Daphnia pulex: one gene and its partners. The protein of the gene in region 2 purifies or fractionates together with the protein of the main gene of each other region. This does not show direct contact. Links are inferred from orthologs where the notes say so. Each region holds a gene or a part of one and is shown on either strand. Other genes may lie near its edges. The genes, in order: protein Churchill-like, actin-related protein 2 and src substrate cortactin-like.

What was found.
Region 1: the proteins of actin-related protein 2 (region 2) and protein Churchill-like purify together in Homo sapiens (affinity purification with mass spectrometry; 4 studies listed by BioGRID and IntAct, with this or other methods). This does not show direct contact. The link is inferred for Daphnia pulex from reciprocal best matches to the Homo sapiens genes ACTR2 and CHURC1.
Region 3: the proteins of actin-related protein 2 (region 2) and src substrate cortactin-like purify together in Homo sapiens (affinity purification with mass spectrometry; 3 studies listed by BioGRID and IntAct, with this or other methods). This does not show direct contact. The link is inferred for Daphnia pulex from reciprocal best matches to the Homo sapiens genes ACTR2 and CTTN.

Annotation. Positions count from the first base shown.
Region 1 is NC_060026.1:15,993,443-15,996,152, reverse strand, and holds protein Churchill-like, read left to right. Parts: upstream 1-1,519; 5' UTR 1,520-1,635; coding exon 1,636-1,674; intron 1,675-1,735; coding exon 1,736-1,868; intron 1,869-1,954; coding exon 1,955-2,121; 3' UTR 2,122-2,210; downstream 2,211-2,710. UniProt on the Homo sapiens protein: Transcriptional activator that mediates FGF signaling during neural development. Plays a role in the regulation of cell movement.
Region 2 is NC_060020.1:5,358,537-5,362,817, reverse strand, and holds actin-related protein 2, read left to right. Parts: upstream 1-1,371; 5' UTR 1,372-1,516; coding exon 1,517-1,564; intron 1,565-1,655; coding exon 1,656-1,766; intron 1,767-2,254; coding exon 2,255-2,334; intron 2,335-2,400; coding exon 2,401-2,536; intron 2,537-2,623; coding exon 2,624-2,833; intron 2,834-2,895; coding exon 2,896-3,045; intron 3,046-3,125; coding exon 3,126-3,404; intron 3,405-3,469; coding exon 3,470-3,637; 3' UTR 3,638-3,806; downstream 3,807-4,281. Other genes in the region: macro domain-containing protein CT2219-like, read left to right, coding at 1-177, 245-364, 429-532, 602-802. UniProt on the Homo sapiens protein: ATP-binding component of the Arp2/3 complex, a multiprotein complex that mediates actin polymerization upon stimulation by nucleation-promoting factor (NPF).
Region 3 is NC_060023.1:10,192,599-10,196,845, forward strand, and holds the start of src substrate cortactin-like, read left to right. Parts: upstream 1-1,408; 5' UTR 1,409-1,529; intron 1,530-1,593; 5' UTR 1,594-1,604; coding exon 1,605-1,750; intron 1,751-1,816; coding exon 1,817-1,936; intron 1,937-1,997; coding exon 1,998-2,108; intron 2,109-2,169; coding exon 2,170-2,290; intron 2,291-2,385; coding exon 2,386-2,496; intron 2,497-2,556; coding exon 2,557-2,667; intron 2,668-2,731; coding exon 2,732-2,915; intron 2,916-2,981; coding exon 2,982-3,052; intron 3,053-3,113; coding exon 3,114-3,659; intron 3,660-3,718; coding exon 3,719-3,799; 3' UTR 3,800-4,247. Other genes in the region: 39S ribosomal protein L23, mitochondrial-like, read right to left, coding at 510-665, 734-804, 873-1,078, 1,158-1,171.

The DNA of each region.
Region 1 (2,710 bases), on a different chromosome or scaffold from region 2:
GGCACGTTTGAGCAGTATTTCCTTCTTAAGCAACTGAAATCAATTATTCAAGACACCCTGACTGTTACTGTTACCTTAGCTCATCGAAAGGCCTTCATTGCACGTCCCCGTGCCAGCAGTTGTAATCACATCGATTGTCGAAACAACGACAGCAGAAGCCGTAACAATTTCCCTAATAACAAGAAAAAAAATATAAGTCAAAACAACAAATCTAGTAGAATTCATTTTTCTTACATAAAAGTCGGAGTGACGGCGCCGAGGAAGAGTGAGCAGTTGCGTCACCAACTTCAAGGTCTGACCTTTGAATGTAATTGTTGTTTAGGTTTGTTCAATCATCTTGGTTCTTCTTCCGTTGCTGGCTGCATCAGGTTGACAGCAGCATGCACTCGAGCAAGCTCAAATTAGGCTGTCATTGTGATGAAAGGGTGATTTTTTCATCATTCTCTCCATTTCATCAATCTGTAAAGAATTGACATAAGTAAAGTGATCACACTGAGAGAATAAATTTAATGGTCGCAAAAACTAGTCTGTTGCTAAGTTACCTGGAGTATGATGACAATTTGCCAGGTTTAGGCTATTAATCTGGGCATTGCTCAAGTAAGAACAGGGCATGAACACCACTGCCGTGCCAACTACAATGACTAATGAAAATATTCTTCTTCTTTGTTTTCCCATATCTGTAGAAATCAATAAAATGTTCATTAGTTAGAGAATCAGAATGAGATTTAAATGTTTTTATTATCTAGCGCTTTAGACTTTCAGTGCATTGGCCCATCTCCTCCTCAGAATCTTCCAGTTCTTAGTCCATGGAGTCCTGGGCTAAAATGATTATTTCATTTCAACCACGTGTTGGGGGACGGGAAACTCATGGATACCACAGATCCTAAGATAGAGCAAGAAGTACTGGCGTGAACGGACAAAATGGTAAATTCTCAATGTAGTAAAGCAGTTCAATGTATGAAAATTTTATACAACGTTAGTTTAGTTGGCAGCCTTAACGTCCATGCAATGGTCCAATCCGCCGCTCGAAAAACAAAGGGAGGGATGACTTGCGATTCATGTCCATCAACGAGCAGCTCTGCAGACTTACTGACGTATTTTAACGGAAGCGGAGAAACGGTCATCAGCGTTGCCAATTTATGCAACTCGACCGTCAAATTTTTTTTTTTTTTTTCAAAATAAGAATTCAAAGAATAAAATTGATTTAAGAAGTACAGAGAAAACCCAATGGTTTGTTCTCTCGAAAAAAGTAGGAATATTACAGCCTTACAGGATAAGGATAAACCGGGTAGTCGGGTAGCCTACTCTGAGCTGGATTATTCTTATTCTTTGTCTTGTTACGGCCATTAGCGAGTTATTGAACGTCTTACACAATTTTTTTTAATAAACAAAAATCAAAAACAGCCCTTCGGTTAGCTTTGCTTAACGCAGGTAGTACCAATCCGTTGCATTACGGAACTTTCCAAAACGCAATGCATGTCGTTTTTTTTTCATGAGATAGATGGCGTTGTAGCTGTGTTGTGAGCAGACTAAATGTAGCGATTTTGAAAACAAACAAACCCCAACAAGAAAGGAAGTATTCTTCCTCTGCATTTCCTGTTCTACATTACTATTTCCTCTCTTTTAACTTCAATTATGTGTGAAAGTTGTCTTAAAGAAGAATATCCCAATAGGGTATAATTTAACTATCAATTAAAGTTTAAGAATGGGTCACTAAATTCGGTTTACATTTTAGGATAGAATGTGCTTAGATTCGGGAGCTTACATGGCAAATTTGAAATGTTGCTGCAAATGTCAATCAAACCAAGTGAGTGTGCTAAACAAGACCATTTCAGAAGATGATGGGATCGAAGTAACAGTTTTTGAACGTAAGTTCAGTGTGCATAAAAACATAAATTCAGATTAATATGTTAATTTACCACCCCTTGTAATTATTTATTTCAATAACATTTAGATGCTTGTGGTACTTGCCAGCATATAATTTCCATTCACAATTACAAGTTCTGGGCCGAAGGTGACTACCAAGAATATGAAATGGACTGTGCATTGTGTGGAACTGCTGAGGATTCAATTAGCATTCTTCCTGATGATCCTCAAAAGGCCTCTTTGGATTTTTTCTAAATTTTCCATCATAACCTTTTTTGTAACACTTTTCTAAGATACCGCTTAAATACTGATTATTAATAATACAGTTGTATTTTAAAAATTAATTTTCCTGCTATCACAAATGTGCAATGTTGTGTTGACATTCACATTTGGTCCTAAAACTTGGTAACTCCTAATGAGGAACTGTATCAAACAGAAACATGCATTCATTACCTGCTATACTTTATCCTAAATTGTCATGGAAAATGTGATTAGATTCACCTATGATAGCTTTTCAATTACTGGCTTACTGTTGCAATATGCTGAAATTGTTTTTTAAAAGGGCTACTTTTAACCTATAACTTCTGGTAATGTTAAATTTGTCGTTGTTTCTGATCACGATCATCAAGGTGAAGCTTTAAAACCACAATTGGCGAGGTCCAACAGAACTAAAAAGTGCCACAGTCTGAAGTTTGTAACCAAACATGTTTAAATTTGGAAGGACAGTAACAAGAAAATTGATTCTCTTAAAATTATATCGTGTAATGCATTTGGAGATAAAACATCAGACTGCTTTTTACATAAATTTAAACAGGATATTATGGAACATATTAATGGATCTCAT
Region 2 (4,281 bases):
CTTGGGAAGAGACATCAAAAGAAATTCCCCATTCTACATCAGATGGAAACAATACTGATTTAAAACCCAATTTATCAATCAATTCTAAAGTTTCTCTTTGGAAAGGGGATATAACTCAACTAGAAGTTGGAGCGATTGTCAATGCAGCCAATAGCAGGTTGGCTGGTGGTGGTGGAGGTGAAATTTAATAAAGAATATTGAAAATTTCTAAATTGTTTATCAATGTTTTGTGTTACCTCAACAGTTGATGGAGCAATTCATAAAGCAGCTGGTCCTTATCTTCTTGAAGAATGTCAATCTATCAAAGGTGGTTGTCAAACAGGGGATGCTAAACTGACAGGAGGATACAAACTACCTGCAAAGTGTAAATTTTTCTCTAGAAAAAGTATGAATGATATCCTGTTTCTATACAGTATTTATGTTTCCAGATGTGATTCAGACTGTTGGACCTATGGACCAAGACTCTAACTTGCTGTCTGATTGTTATTCTAATAGTCTTAAACTTGCGAATAAAAATGAACTAAAAACAATAGTAAGTCATGATTTTACATTCTAGTACCTTTTAGGGATTCCATTTCTTCATCTTCAAAATTTTAATTAGGTATTTCCCTGCATTTCAACTGGGGTTTATGGTTACCCCAATAGAGATGCAGCTGCAGTAGCATTGTTAACAACAAGAAAATTTCTTGAAAGTGATGAATCAACATTGGAAAGAGTGATATTCTGTGTGTTTTTAGATAAAGATCTAAAAGTATATCAAGAATTGCTACCTAAATATTTTTCAGTAAAGGCTGTTTTGTGATCTGATTTGATAACATGAAAAATTTTGAAAATTTGGTAATGTACAACATGTGTACAGCATGAACAGGCTTGGAATAAAAGAATGGCAAAAAATCTTTGAAATATCCTTTTTAAATTTGAATGCATCATCAAGTTCTTGCTTTGCCAAGGAATTTACTCAATTTAGTTTCCTCAGCCTTCCTATGATTTTGGCCAGTTTGGTTTCATGTTCTTTAAAGAAGATGTTCTAGTGTTGCATGCTTCAATGGATAATATTCAGTGTTGGTAAGAGTATTTGACTTTAGTATGCATATACAATTCATTCGTTTAATTTATTTAATTCTTTTTTGTCTGTTATTGAACATTTTGAATTTCCCGGTTGATTAACGGCGTTGCCAAAATTCTTCAGATAAATCATTGCATCAAAATAATGTAGTTCACAAATTAATTTAAAATCTATACTTTACAATTTCAAAATTTTTTTTAAGAAACTTTATCTCAAATATTTTATAACGATTCGAGATAGTCATTTAAAACCAGAGTTAACTGATTAACCAGCTGGATTAACCAATGATGTTAAGCAATCGGTTGCCGTGGCAACTCCCAACCCCCATGAGCTGCTATCGTCTGGCTCCGACGGGAAGTAGTTTTGGTTTTAGGGCGCTGTCAAATTGTGTGTCGTATTGTTCACGAATTGAGATTATCAATATAAAATCAACTATTAACAAACTTTGAGATGGATAGTCAAGGAAGAAAAGTATTAGTTTGTGATAATGGAACAGGGGTGAGTTATTTTTTTCTTTTGAAATATTTATTAATGTTGTTTTGCCGGCCATGTAGCAAACTAGCAACTCACCTTTATCAATGTTGGATAGTTTGTCAAAGTTGGATATGCAGGATCAAACTTTCCAGCACATATCTTCCCATCTTTGGTTGGACGACCTATCATTCGCGCTGCCAACAAAATTGGTGACATCGAAGTGAAGGTATGATAAAATTCTTTTCTTTCAAGCAGTTTCGATCTTACTGTCCATTTCCATGGTTTCGACATCACACAAAACTTTCTAGGGTTATCAAATTAAGGTGACATTCCAAGGATAAGTACAGAGGGAATCTCACATGTTTTGCATTTAAAAAAATCTGTGTCATGTTCTTATAACACAGATATAGTTTAAAAACCTATAAAGTCATAACAGTGATAGTAAAAAACCAACTTGTGCCGTCCTATAACATGAATGTCTTTGTGGAGTTTTGATTTTGATTGTAAAAAAAGGTTTTGTTATTTTCTAATGAACTGAATCATGATTTTGGCTTAATTGCTTGCCTTTCAATCAGGGATTTGCTCACATATCTGTAAGTATTGAGCACTTTATGGTGTGATATTGTTTGTTGGAATTTTGCATTGATGTTTAGTTGCATGTAACTTAGTGTTCTTTTTAATTGAATCTAAATTAATGAAGACTTTTATCAACAGGATTTAATGGTCGGAGATGACGCGAGTAAACTTCGCTCAATGCTTGAAGTGAACTACCCTATGGAAAACGGAATCGTTAGGTATATATCGATACATTTATTAAATTTGAACTGGTGTTTATAAATCTGCTTGTTTGTGTTCCTTAGGAATTGGGAAGACATGTGTCATGTGTGGGATTACACTTTTGGCCCTGAGAAAATGAACATTGACCCTCACCAATGTAAGGTCTTGCTAACAGAGCCTCCGATGAACCCTTTGAAGAATCGCGAGAAAATGATTGAGGTAAATGTTTTTAATTGTCACCATGTTTCAATGGTGGTGGTGGAAATGGGTGTGTAAAAATTCGAATCTTTGTGCCGTTTGTTACAGGTCATGTTCGAAAAATATGGATTTGCCGGAACCTACGTGGCCATCCAAGCAGTTCTAACACTTTACGCACAGGGTCTGCTGACGGGAGTTGTTGTCGATTCTGGAGACGGTGTCACTCACATTTGTCCTGTGTACGAAGGGTTTGCAATGCCTCACTTAACCAGACGTCTTGACATTGCCGGAAGAGATATTACCCGATATCTCATCAAGGTAGAATCAATGATCCATCCCGCAATAGTTTGGCATGAATTCAGTAATATTCCTCTTTATAGCTCTTGCTGCTGAGAGGCTACGCATTCAATCATACGGCAGACTTTGAAACTGTTCGCCAGTTGAAAGAAAAACTTTGTTATATTGGCTATAACATTGAAACGGAACAAAAACTGGCTCTCGAAACAACCGTTTTAGTCGAATCATACACAGTAAGTTTCCCTTTATTCTACCTTCGAGTCGCTGTGGCCATGGCATATTTAAAAACCAAAAAATTCGATTTCTAAAAAAGCTTCCAGATGGGCGCGTCATCAAAGTGGGTGGTGAACGGTTCGAAGCCCCTGAAGCGCTTTTCCAGCCTCACTTGATCAACGTTGAAGGGTCAGGAATCGCCGAGCTAGTCTTCTCGACTATCCAAGCGGCCGACATCGATGTCCGCCCGTCGCTATACAAACACATCGTCCTTTCAGGCGGTTCAACCATGTATCCCGGACTTCCGTCTAGGCTCGAACGGGAAATCAAACAGCTGTACCTTGAACGAGTTCTTAAAGGCGACACGGAGAAACTTACGGTACAACGATGAAATTTTGTGTTCTAGACGTACATTTTACTTACTACTCTTTTCTTGGCACGCAGAAATTCAAAATTCGTATTGAAGATCCTCCTCGCCGTAAAGACATGGTTTTCATTGGTGGTGCCGTATTGGCCGATGTCATGAAAGACAAAGAATCTTTCTGGATGTCGAGGGAAGAGTACAATGAGCGTGGCATCCGCGTGCTGGACAAACTGGTCAACCGCTCCTAACGCGCAATTTTAAACGCTCGTTCCTCTTTTCCGATTCCCATCGAAGGTCATGTTATTACTAATCAGATGTCCATTTTTTTTTTTCATGTTGCTGGGTTCACATTCCCGCCCTCCCTAATTTTTGTTGACCCCCAAATTCTGGCTGAATAAACAAAAATAGCCTCTGTAATTATAGCAACTAATCAGGCGAGAGAAGAAAACTCAAGCAATTTTATTATTGCACATAGGGGGAAAGTATGGCCGTGGTAGCAGATAATTTCAGAGAGGAGGACATATTTAACATTCCCAAGGCAACAACAGGAGAAAGAAAAAAAAACGAAGGGAAATACCTTTTTAAAAGGTTACACTGGGCACGACCATGAAGCCATAGTTTAAAATGGTTAACAACGTCATTATTTAAAAAAAAAAAACAGCCGCAAGAAATGCACACAAGGATATGTGAATTCTCGGATAAGGCACAGGCGTAGTATAGGAGAATGAATGTAGTTTTTTTTTTCCGTTGACTTCTTGCATTTTCTTTAACACAAAGAAGATAAGAAGGCGGCCATGACTACGATTTGACATTTAAACAACAATTCTTTTCTTATTTTTTTCCGAAGCTCTACCTTTTAGTCTTTGCGCAGGGCGATGAGAAGGAGAACAAA
Region 3 (4,247 bases), on a different chromosome or scaffold from region 2:
GTCTATGAGTTATTGGACCAGAACTCTCAAATGATTCCTGGGTCAATTGATGAATTCCCAAATCTGAAAGAATTTCACGCGAGAATCGGAGGGCTAGAGAAAGTTGCAGCTTATCTGAGTTCGGATAAATGCATCAAGAATCCTTTCAATGGACCTATGGCTCATTGGGGCGGAAAATAAGCTAAATGGTGGTAACCACTATCATATCTGTAAATTTAATCTGGTTCTTATTTGTTTGGCGTTACGAGAAAAAATGTAGACTATTAAAAGTTATTCAATATTTCGGGTTAATGGGTAATACAATACAACGTTAATGAAAAATTATGGAATCCCTTTTCTGCTTTCTGCCACTTTTTTTTCCGAAGCAAAATATTTTCAATAAGTCCCCCCCCCCCCACCAAATACCGTGCCATAGGCCTACCCGGAGTTTCTTTTTATCTTATACAAATGAAATAAAATAATAAATAAACCATATGTTATTACTGTATTCTAACAAATTTTTTACAAATTCAATGACTAAACCATGTAGGCACTCCTTGTTTAGAAATATTAATGCTTGTTTTCTGGGCATACAATTCTTTTGTCTGTTTCATAGTATTAGTTTGCTCATCATAAATGTCAGTACTGCCATGAATTTCTGGGAAGACAAATTTGTGGTCTTTGTGCTAAAAAACAAACAAAACAAAATGGTTACAGTTGAAGAAACATTAAACAAGATAAGTTTTCAAATTACCAGAGTTACAAAGGCTATTTTTTCATCATTTTCCTTAGTGACATAAGTGTTGGGTAAAGTTTTTGTTTTCCCTTTAAAGAAAATTATTCTAAGTGTTAGTAAAACATCACTTATTTTAACCTCAATAATGTTGTCGTACCCATTTGGTTGTAGGTGCTGACATGAACAACAGGGAGGTTGTAAATTTTTTCAAGATATTGTTTAACATCAAGCTTGGTCATTTGTGATGAGACAACAAACTGAACTTGATTAGGTAGCAAATTGTGGCTCGGTTTGACAAGCTTCATCCAAAAGTCAGGTAGGAACACCCGTAATTTAGGACTACCGCTTTTGAAAGCTGGATATCTACATTTTTAGATTTTTTAATCGTAACTAATTATAAATTTTGAGTGAACCCAATTAAGCTTTGAAATTCTTGACTTACATTCTCGTCGACATTTTCTCAGGATGTTTGAAGCCTCAACACAATCAGTTTGATGATTTCTTGTTTACTGTTTTCGTCTGCATTGACTGCATGGTGCATGCTTGAATCTTTATGCTGCGCCAAATCATATTTCAAACTTTTCATTAATGATATTTACACTTTTATACTCATAGAAACAATTTAAATTTTTTTTTTAATTATTATTAGTAGATTTTATGACGAAATAAAAATAAGTTTTTAAAATTCATTTCCGAATGGCATTGTTGCAAGATAAACTATCCGGATTGTTTAACTTCTTATCAAATAGAAAGGGCGTGTGACTCAACTTTTAGCCGGTTTAAATTAGTATTATATCTATTTATTAAAGAATTTGTACGTCAGAGAGATCATTAATTATCACAAATAATTTTAAATTAAAATTTATTTTTCTCTCTAGATTGTAATAACATGTGGAAATCAGCAGTTGGTTCCAGCATCAAGGCTCCTGTTGTCAACCAAGATGACGATGAATGGGATACCGATCCCAATTATATTAACAACGTAACAGAAGAAGAACAACGATGGGGTGGGGGAAGAACTGCGGGTGCTATTGAGTGAGCATAAATGTTTTCTTCAAGACATTGTGTATTTACGTTAACGGTTTCTGTCAATGTTTACAGTATGAATGCTCTACGAGAGCAAACGACTAAAGAAGATCTGGAGCTCAAGAAAAAGGTAATGGCTGCAGGACCTCAAGCATCTTATGGATATGGTGGAAAATTTGGTGTACAAGGAGATCGGTATGTTTTTCTTAGAAAACTAAAATGTGAATTTCATCAACTTTTGTTTTTGTTTCTTCAGTATGGATAAAAGTGCAGTCGGGCATGAACATATCGAAAAAGTTGAAAAACATGCTTCTCAAAAAGATTACACCACTGGTTTTGGTGGGAAATATGGCATTCAAAAGGACAGGTAAGAACAGGATTCATTTTTTGTACATCTTTCCAATTTCTTACTATTATTGTTTATTAAGGATGGATAAGTCTGCAGTGGGGCATGACTATGTAGCCAAGGTTGAAAAACATGGCAGTCAAACAGATGCTGCCAAAGGGTTTGGCGGCAAGTTTGGAGTTCAAACTGATCGAGTTGATAAGGTATTTCATTAAAATATGCGCATTATTGTTTTATTTCAGTTACTTTACAGTTATGCCCACTATTTTCTCACGTTTTATTTGGATCGGTTAAATAGAGTGCTGTTGGTTGGGATTATCAGGAGAAGTTGGTAAAGCATGAAAGTCAAACAGATGGTTCCAAAGGTTTTGGTGGGAAATTCGGCGTACAAACCGACCGCATCGACAAAGTAACAAATTCTATAACTGTTTGAACAAAGGAATTTTTTCTATTGAAGTGCAATTTTTAGAGTGCAGTTGGCTGGGATTATCAAGAAAAAGTGGAGAAACATGAAAGTCAGGTGGATGGAAATAAAGGTTTTGGTGGTAAATTTGGTGTCCAGGCTGATCGAGTCGATAAAGTATAACCTACCAATGCAATGTTATTGTAATCCAACTAATTTCTTAATTTATCTTTTGTGACAGAGTGCTGTTGGTTATGATTACCAAGAAAAAGTAGAGAAACATGAGAGCCAAGTAGATGGTTCAAAAGGTTTCGGAGGAAAATTTGGTGTTCAAACAGATAGACAAGATGCAGCGGCCGTCGGTTTTGATGAAGAACAAGGTCATGTTGGTACTACTTACGAGAAGGATAAGCCAGTTATTGCGGGTAACAATAAAAATTTCCGTTAAGTTTTTCTTGGTTTGAATTTATTAAACTCATTTGGTTCCATAGAGAAAGGTAAAGCGTCTTTGCTGAAATCCCGTTTTGAAAATTTTGCTGAAGAAAACAAGAAAGCAGCCATGGTAAACGTTTGATAGTTTCTTATTACAAACAAATGTATTACATCATTTTTCATTTCTTTAGGTTGTTCCTCCTCCACCGAAGAATCCCCGCCCAATGGCTAAGATAGCACACAAATTCGAAACACAGTCGACGCCTCAAACAGAGCCACCCATTAAACAAATCCCCCAAACAGAAAAACCTGTCCGACAAAACCAATTCCTCCCAGCCAAGTCGCCTGTTATACCAGAGCCAGTCATCCGAGAAAGTCCTGTGATTTCTCCAGTTCCAGAACCTGCTAGGTCGCCTTCACCTCCACCGACTGTCGTTCCACCTGTTCCGGCACAAACTCAACAACATATCGCGCAATCCCTTGAACGATGGAACGATGATCTGGCCGAAGCTGTCGAAGAAGTGGATGATGGAGCGTGGAGGGAGCAAGTGGATGAGCAGGATGACGCCTGGAAAGACGAAGAAGAGATAGGCTACGTCCAAGAGAATTCGAATTTAGAAACAGTTGCGGAAGAAACTGGATCCGGTCTTATTGCAGTCGCCCTCTACGATTACCAAGCTGCTGCAGAAGACGAGCTCTCCTTTGACCCGGATGAAGTCATTGTCAACATCGAAATGGTAATGTTTATTAATTTATAAAATGTGTTTAGTTTCTAACCAACTCTTTTGCTGTGCAGATCGATGAAGGTTGGTGGCGAGGGGAGTGTAGAGGACAGATAGGATTATTTCCCGCTAATTACGTCCAACTGCAACAGTGAAACCCTATCCAGTTTTTTTCGTCTTCCAGGTTTTATCCAACAATCCAAGGTTCTTTTTTATTCCCAATTGTTAAGCATTCTTTCCAAGAATTTTCCTTATCTCGTAAGCCAACCATATGGCGGTTCTTTTTACGCGTGGCGTTATATTCGTGTATTGTTGTCCAGTCAGTATTCACAACGCGGTGAAGAAAAACATTACTTATTACAGATTAGTTGATTTGATGAAAATGTGTGACGGAAAAACATCGTTCTTGCCTATTATTGTGGAAAGAGAATTGCAAGTTATCCCTTATCTGCATTTAATTAAGAACCAATAATTAGATGTTGTTTGCCGACTCAAATCACAATGCTTTGTTATGATTATTGTGCCGAGATCCAACCGACCAATCTATCTTATGCAGCCTGTTGATTCATTGGAAGAGTTTTCATGTCCATACTCACCGACTGC